Linked DNA regions of Saccharomyces cerevisiae S288C. Each later gene encodes a partner of the first gene's protein in a complex. Each region holds a gene or a part of one and is shown in the gene's direction. Other genes may lie near its edges. The genes, in order: ASF1 and RAD53.

What was found.
Region 2: the proteins of ASF1 (region 1) and RAD53 are in contact, whole or in part, in a crystal structure (PDB 2YGV), measured with the Saccharomyces cerevisiae proteins. Residues at the interface, in NP_012420.1 of Saccharomyces cerevisiae: Phe28 (codon at 2,271), Asp37 (codon at 2,298), Glu39 (codon at 2,304), Asp58 (codon at 2,361), Ser59 (codon at 2,364), Ile60 (codon at 2,367), Leu61 (codon at 2,370), Val62 (codon at 2,373), Gly63 (codon at 2,376), Pro64 (codon at 2,379), Val65 (codon at 2,382), Pro66 (codon at 2,385), Val67 (codon at 2,388), Val69 (codon at 2,394), Asn70 (codon at 2,397), Lys71 (codon at 2,400), Phe72 (codon at 2,403), Val73 (codon at 2,406), Ser75 (codon at 2,412), Asp77 (codon at 2,418); in NP_015172.1 of Saccharomyces cerevisiae: Val803 (codon at 4,110), Lys804 (codon at 4,113), Arg805 (codon at 4,116), Ala806 (codon at 4,119), Lys807 (codon at 4,122), Leu808 (codon at 4,125), Asp809 (codon at 4,128), Gln810 (codon at 4,131), Thr811 (codon at 4,134), Glu816 (codon at 4,149).

Annotation. Positions count from the first base shown.
Region 1 is NC_001142.9:194,098-197,707, forward strand, and holds ASF1 (nucleosome assembly factor ASF1), read left to right. Parts: upstream 1-2,189; coding exon 2,190-3,029; downstream 3,030-3,610. Other genes in the region: SUN family protein NCA3, read right to left, coding at 1-776. UniProt on the Saccharomyces cerevisiae protein: Histone chaperone that facilitates histone deposition and histone exchange and removal during nucleosome assembly and disassembly. Facilitates histone deposition through both replication-dependent and replication-independent chromatin assembly pathways.
Region 2 is NC_001148.4:260,940-265,895, reverse strand, and holds RAD53 (serine/threonine/tyrosine protein kinase RAD53), read left to right. Parts: upstream 1-1,703; coding exon 1,704-4,169; downstream 4,170-4,956. Other genes in the region: peptidylprolyl isomerase RRD2, read right to left, coding at 1-868; YPL152W-A (uncharacterized protein), read right to left, coding at 1,196-1,294. UniProt on the Saccharomyces cerevisiae protein: Controls S-phase checkpoint as well as G1 and G2 DNA damage checkpoints. Phosphorylates proteins on serine, threonine, and tyrosine. Prevents entry into anaphase and mitotic exit after DNA damage via regulation of the Polo kinase CDC5.

The DNA of each region.
Region 1 (3,610 bases):
ACATCCGAACCAGAAGTACCCCAAATGCACCCATCTTCTGCAGATACACCGGCGTTGTTAATATAGTACTGAGCAGAAGTCTTTTTACCCTGCCATTGATAATAAGTGTCTTCATCAACGACTGAAATTGGTTGTGAATCTCCACCATCAACCACTGTGGGAATCACCATGTTTTCTGATCCTGGGTAATCCGTCCTACATAGAGCAATGGAGTCAGACTTTTTGTTAATGGCCTTAGCAGATGTTTCATCCGTAGAACATAAATCGCTGGTATCAGTGTTGGTACGGTACAAGTAACCATTTTTACAGTAAAGACCACCAACAGATTTACCATCGCTTGGTTGGTCAGAAGGCCATTGAGTCTTTGACATTCCAGGTTCACATGCATAAGAACAGTAGTAGCCATCCTTACATTCGGACGAAGTGTTGGCATCCATGTCCATGACAGAGGCCCATCCACCAAATCCTAGCCAGTCCAAGGAAACTATACCGTTTACAGAAGGGAAGTCCGAACATTTGACAGTACCATCTTGGAATCCGCCATCACGCTTCTGTTCAGAGGTATCCTTCTCAGATGAGGACAATGTAGTGGTAGTAGCAGCAGATTCTACAGTACTAGTAGCGGCATTGGAATCTATGTATTGAGTGACAGTGACAACCGCTGGTTTTTCATCTTTGTGATGATCTTCATGGTGACTGTCCGCTGGAGCAGGTGCAGGGGCAGAAAATGCGACAGAAGAAAGGGAAGACAATATTAAAGCTGCGGAAATTTTCATTATGTGTTAGAGAGAGACGAGTTAAGTATGTGCGACTATACTAGTATTATAATATTAAAGGAAAGTAAGGTACCGTCTATGAGGAGACTGTTAGTTGGATATCAGTAATGAGACGAAAAAGCTCGAAATGAATGGATATATTCTTTTTGCTACTGGCAACTGTTGAATATTTAATGTTAAAACAAACTAACTGAGGTATATTCGTATCTGTATGTACACATATACTATATACAGGAAAAGATAAGCAAGAGAGAGGATATCAACTACGAGAGCGATCGATTATATATCAAAAGCTGTCCGCTTTGCCACCCATAATCGGCGCTTAGTTTCGGAGTTCAATCATAATTCTACCACCTTACACTCAACTTACTCTTTAACTCCTATAGTATAATATCGCCACTGACCCCATATTAAAAAAATTTTTTTGCTCGATCTTCTATCCTCTTTAGGTTAATTGTCGCTGTTATTGTCTAGATTTTTTCTCGGAGATGGCGCATCTATTTGCCGTCAAAAGATCCTCTCATACCATATTAAGTAAATTGCCTCCATTTCTTTTTCCTCGGGCAGAGAAACTCGCAGGCAACTTGCTCTCGAAGTGGTCACGTGCGGGTCTAGGCCTGCATAATCGGCCCTCACAGAGGGATCCCGTTACCCATCTATGCTGAAGATTTATCATACTATTCCTCCGCTCGTTTCTTTTTTCAGTGAGGTGTGTCGTGAAAGAAAACCCACAATTAAACTTTCAACAACCGGGCGACTAGGAAGAGAGTAGTGGGCGCGGATGACGAAGGCTAAGGTCACTTCTTCGTTTCCTTTATTGGGGTTTCCGTGTAGCCTTCCCCTGAATAGTGTGGGACGTTTTATGAGAAGCCGTAAGAAATAGGCAAATTGAGTTATGACAAGTAGACATGATGCCGCAGCCTTGCCTGACTTTACGTCTCCTTCATGAATAAGTTTTTCTATCGAGTTCTTTTCCTTTTTTCGCCTTAATTAGCTCAATTAAGCCTGTCCTCACTACTTTTCTTTTTCTTATCGGCTTTGTGCCACACCTAACCTTCGAATGCTGTTTTATTCCGTTCTTACATGGGATGGTAATGCCTTGGCGAGAATTTCGATTTTCAGGATATTGTCTTGGTGGCGTCTTTTGCTGTTACTATGTGTTTAAGAGAGAGCTGTTCTACAAAGAACTTTTCATTTACGCGTTTTTTCCTTTTTTTTTTTTTCTCATCCTAAACGCGTAAATCTGTTCCCTTTTTCATGTAATGGGCGTACAACCGACGATGGAAAAATGAATCTTGCAATTTTAATACTAACACTTGGAATAACTCCAAACAGGTAAGAGGCTCACAGAATCTCGAAAGTGTAACAGCGTACTCTCCCTACCATCCAATTGAAACATAAGATATAGAAAAGATGTCAATTGTTTCACTGTTAGGCATCAAAGTCTTAAACAACCCGGCAAAGTTCACTGATCCATATGAGTTTGAAATCACTTTTGAATGCTTAGAATCTTTAAAACATGACTTAGAGTGGAAACTAACCTATGTTGGGTCCTCTCGTTCTCTAGACCATGACCAGGAATTGGATTCCATTCTGGTAGGCCCCGTTCCCGTAGGTGTTAATAAATTTGTGTTTTCTGCTGACCCTCCCTCCGCCGAGCTGATTCCTGCGAGTGAATTGGTTAGTGTGACTGTTATTCTATTAAGTTGTTCTTATGACGGGAGAGAGTTTGTTAGGGTCGGTTACTACGTGAATAATGAGTACGATGAAGAAGAGTTAAGAGAAAATCCGCCAGCAAAGGTACAAGTAGATCATATTGTAAGAAATATACTGGCTGAAAAGCCAAGGGTAACAAGGTTTAACATTGTTTGGGATAATGAAAATGAAGGGGATTTATACCCACCTGAACAGCCCGGCGTAGATGATGAAGAGGAGGAGGACGATGAAGAAGAAGATGACGATGAAGATGATGAAGACGACGAAGATGACGATCAAGAAGATGGAGAGGGAGAGGCGGAAGAAGCGGCAGAGGAGGAAGAAGAGGAGGAAGAGAAGACTGAAGACAACGAAACGAATCTTGAAGAAGAGGAGGAAGACATAGAAAATAGTGACGGCGATGAGGAAGAAGGAGAAGAAGAGGTGGGGTCTGTAGACAAGAATGAAGATGGTAATGATAAGAAGAGGAGGAAAATAGAAGGGGGGTCCACGGATATTGAATCCACTCCAAAGGATGCGGCACGTTCAACGAATTAAGAATTTATGGGTTATAAGATTAATGGTACCTGCAAGAGAGGTACACTTTATAAAATGTATAAATAAAAAAATAACAGACATAAGATAAAGTCGGGTTAGGGCAACAGCTACGTAAAAAATAAAAGGCAGTAATATTTTCCATTTAAGTTGATTTTCTTATTATTGTCGTTGAGAACAAAAAGAAATTGGACGAGTCCGGAATCGAACCGGAGACCTCTCCCATGCTAAGGGAGCGCGCTACCGACTACGCCACACGCCCTAATATTATTGATATTGTTGTTTATCAAAGTGAGATACGTCAGTATGACAATACGTCATCCTAAAAGTTCATAAAACACATATGAAACAACTTCATAACAGAACGAACATGTTGGAATAAAAATCCACTATCGTCTATCAACTAATAGTTATATTATCATGTTGGAACGAGAGTAATTAATAGTGACATGAGTTGCTATGGTAACAATCTAATGCTTACATCGTATATTAATGTACAACTCGTATACGTTTAAGTGTGATTGCGCCTATTGCAGAAGGAATGTTAAACGAGAAGCTCAGACAATACTGAAGCTGTGTTAAAG
Region 2 (4,956 bases), on another chromosome or scaffold:
GTTGCATGATGGGCAATTTACTAAGGACTTCGGCTTTATACATTTTTATCATCCCTTCAGCAACTTTTGACCAAGTCTTTACACCGCTGATGTCATCTAGCATAGGAGAATGCCATCTCAAGGAGGCGGATGACTTGACCTTATTAATAAAAGCGATACAACCAAAATATAAGTACCGATGAGCGAACATTTCTACGAGCTCATTATTGTGAATTGATATCGGCTTTAAGTGCTTGTGGGTGGTTAATTGGAAGGCACCAAATAGAAATGGAAGGAAATGATAATCATCTAATCCCCAAACACCATGAGAGCCCGCAGGCTCAAGCCAATATTTAGTTTCTAGTATCCTCATTATTTTAAGGTATTCTATAAAAACTTTCAGCACGAGGTTAGTTGAATCGTTTGAAAGATTGAATATTCCATAACTATAGAGTCCATAAAGTAAACACATGAAATTTAATTCATGACCTGAACCATAATCAATTCTTCTTTTATTTCCCCATGATTCATCTAGATAAATCGATAATTGTTCCAACTGCTCATCTGTGAGAGAGGGAAATTCGGAACGTAAGATCTTCCTGGAATTCCGTGAAACTTCGTCATAAAAGTCCCTAAACTCAACCTTACCAAATCTCGAGCTATCTGCATCCTTTATTACTGGGTGCTTCTGAGTGATATCTTTTATTTGCGAAAGCAAGTTCATCATACTGTTTATTGACTCCGATATTGGTTCTTTGTACTGGGAATTCTCATGTCCTTTGACAGATTCAGCCAAATCTATAATAAATTTAGTGAAATGAGCTCTTGTTGGGGATTCTTCCCATAGTTTCATATCGTCTGGAGTCAATAGTCTCTTTTCTGGCAACATCTTTTTCTAAATATTTATATTGTTCTTTACGGATTGTTGTTTATGGACTGTTCTTTCTGCACAGGCGACTAACATAAAGTACCTCTCTCTTGTCATTGATATCCCTTTTGTTCTATCACATCCGTTAGGATTTTATTCTGTGCTTACTCACGTGAAAGAGAGGGAAGAGTGTAAAAGTTACCCGAAAATCTATTATGGCGGCTATTGTAGTACGTCCAAAACAACGTATTTCAATGTAAATTCAAAGCAAACACTGAGAAAAAACAAAAACTTACTTATTGGTTCGCTCAGCACCTACCTAAATGGTACTTTTAGAATGATACTGTATTATCTACCGTGGTATCGGCAACTATAGGACGGAGATAAAGCATGCCAAAGTAATTCTTCCTTTATTAGATGAGATTTCAGCGTGAGGTGAACCATCATTTGTTTGGTTGGTGCATTAATAGCCTGCTTCCTTTTAATTAAGCCGGAAAGTGTTTGTCACAGATGTCAATGAAACGTGCATCTATTAACATATTTATTTTCATTTCGAGGGTGAGGTGGTGTGGACGCGTTGATACGGCAACGGGAGTGACGCGTAAAATTGGCAGAAAAATCATCACCGTGGGTAGACTTGGAAATGAAAACATTTATAGAATAAAGGTACAGGTTGAGAAGATAAAGGGTACCAAAGTTACCATTTTGAAATCTCTGATCAAGAAAAGGTAAGAAAGCAGAAAAGGACGGTAGAGATTATTGGAAGACAAACTAATTTTGTATATGCATTCGATTTTCTTAAGCTTTAAAAGAGAGAATAGTGAGAAAAGATAGTGTTACACAACATCAACTAAAAATGGAAAATATTACACAACCCACACAGCAATCCACGCAGGCTACTCAAAGGTTTTTGATTGAGAAGTTTTCTCAAGAACAGATCGGCGAAAACATTGTGTGCAGGGTCATTTGTACCACGGGTCAAATTCCCATCCGAGATTTGTCAGCTGATATTTCACAAGTGCTTAAGGAAAAACGATCCATAAAGAAAGTTTGGACATTTGGTAGAAACCCAGCCTGTGACTATCATTTAGGAAACATTTCAAGACTGTCAAATAAGCATTTCCAAATACTACTAGGAGAAGACGGTAACCTTTTATTGAATGACATTTCCACTAATGGGACCTGGTTAAATGGGCAAAAAGTCGAGAAGAACAGCAATCAGTTACTGTCTCAAGGTGATGAAATAACCGTTGGTGTAGGCGTGGAATCAGATATTTTATCTCTGGTCATTTTCATAAACGACAAATTTAAGCAGTGCCTCGAGCAGAACAAAGTTGATCGCATAAGATCTAACCTGAAAAATACCTCTAAAATAGCTTCTCCTGGTCTTACATCATCTACTGCATCATCAATGGTGGCCAACAAGACTGGTATTTTTAAGGATTTTTCGATTATTGACGAAGTGGTGGGCCAGGGTGCATTTGCCACAGTAAAGAAAGCCATTGAAAGAACTACTGGGAAAACATTCGCGGTGAAGATTATAAGTAAACGCAAAGTAATAGGCAATATGGATGGTGTGACAAGAGAGTTAGAAGTATTGCAAAAGCTCAATCATCCAAGGATAGTACGATTGAAAGGATTTTATGAAGATACTGAGAGTTATTATATGGTGATGGAGTTCGTTTCTGGTGGTGACTTAATGGATTTTGTTGCTGCTCATGGTGCGGTTGGAGAAGATGCTGGGAGGGAGATATCCAGGCAGATACTCACAGCAATAAAATACATTCACTCTATGGGCATCAGCCATCGTGACCTAAAGCCCGATAATATTCTTATTGAACAAGACGATCCTGTATTGGTAAAGATAACCGACTTTGGTCTGGCAAAAGTACAAGGAAATGGGTCTTTTATGAAAACCTTCTGTGGCACTTTGGCATATGTGGCACCTGAAGTCATCAGAGGTAAAGATACATCCGTATCTCCTGATGAATACGAAGAAAGGAATGAGTACTCTTCGTTAGTGGATATGTGGTCAATGGGATGTCTTGTGTATGTTATCCTAACGGGCCACTTACCTTTTAGTGGTAGCACACAGGACCAATTATATAAACAGATTGGAAGAGGCTCATATCATGAAGGGCCCCTCAAAGATTTCCGGATATCTGAAGAAGCAAGAGATTTCATAGATTCATTGTTACAGGTGGATCCAAATAATAGGTCGACAGCTGCAAAAGCCTTGAATCATCCCTGGATCAAGATGAGTCCATTGGGCTCACAATCATATGGTGATTTTTCACAAATATCCTTATCACAATCGTTGTCGCAGCAGAAATTATTAGAAAATATGGACGATGCTCAATACGAATTTGTCAAAGCGCAAAGGAAATTACAAATGGAGCAACAACTTCAAGAACAGGATCAGGAAGACCAAGATGGAAAAATTCAAGGATTTAAAATACCCGCACACGCCCCTATTCGATATACACAGCCCAAAAGCATTGAAGCAGAAACTAGAGAACAAAAACTTTTACATTCCAATAATACTGAGAATGTCAAGAGCTCAAAGAAAAAGGGTAATGGTAGGTTTTTAACTTTAAAACCATTGCCTGACAGCATTATTCAAGAAAGCCTGGAGATTCAGCAAGGTGTGAATCCATTTTTCATTGGTAGATCCGAGGATTGCAATTGTAAAATTGAAGACAATAGGTTGTCTCGAGTTCATTGCTTCATTTTCAAAAAGAGGCATGCTGTAGGCAAAAGCATGTATGAATCTCCGGCACAAGGTTTAGATGATATTTGGTATTGCCACACCGGAACTAACGTGAGCTATTTAAATAATAACCGCATGATACAGGGTACGAAATTCCTTTTACAAGACGGAGATGAAATCAAGATCATTTGGGATAAAAACAATAAATTTGTCATTGGCTTTAAAGTGGAAATTAACGATACTACAGGTCTGTTTAACGAGGGATTAGGTATGTTACAAGAACAAAGAGTAGTACTTAAGCAAACAGCCGAAGAAAAAGATTTGGTGAAAAAGTTAACCCAGATGATGGCAGCTCAACGTGCAAATCAACCCTCGGCTTCTTCTTCATCAATGTCGGCTAAGAAGCCGCCAGTTAGCGATACAAATAATAACGGCAATAATTCGGTACTAAACGACTTGGTAGAGTCACCGATTAATGCGAATACGGGGAACATTTTGAAGAGAATACATTCGGTAAGTTTATCGCAATCACAAATTGATCCTAGTAAGAAGGTTAAAAGGGCAAAATTGGACCAAACCTCAAAAGGCCCCGAGAATTTGCAATTTTCGTAACCAAGGACAAATACCCATAGAAAATGCTGCCCCTTTTTAAGAGAGAAGATGGTAGATACCAATACTCAGAATTCATCTATTCATAACTTTTTGGGTTTTTATTACATATAGAGTGACGTTTTGATACGATTTACATTTTGAAATATATAGATTTTTGTATATTAATAAGTTTTGATTTTCAGTTTTAGTTATGCTTAATGAATTTTTGAATCAGAAAAAGAAGTTCTGAAAAAAACATAATCCTGCTTGATGTGGTACAACAAGCTCATAAATAATTTTAAAAAGTTTGTTAATCCGTTTTCAATATCTTGAGCTCCTCAATTGTATTTGCTGAGGTCTGATTATTTCTATAACCAAAAGCGGTTATTGAATCTATGGAGAGGCTGTAACCCGTCTTATGCCTTCCGGGTACTATATTTCATTTGCGGGTGTCGATGGATTAAGGGGCGGAGGCGGCCCTTTTTAGGATTTATATAAAAAGCCATACTTCCGTACTTCGTAACCTCTTATCAACTGGTTAAGGGAACAGAGTAAAGAAGTTTGGGTAATTCGCTGCTATTTATTCATTCCACCTTCTTCTTTTTTGAGCGAAGCCTTTATAATCAAATTTTAGTGGTCTTTTCTATTTTTATTTGAGAAGCCTACCACGTAAGGGAAGAATAACAAAAAGTATATCTCACCCTACTGTATTCATAAAAAGTTTTTTCTATTAGAATTCTATAAGAAAAGAAAAAAAAAAAGCCTAGTGACCTAGTATTTAATCCAAATAAAATTCAAACAAAAACCA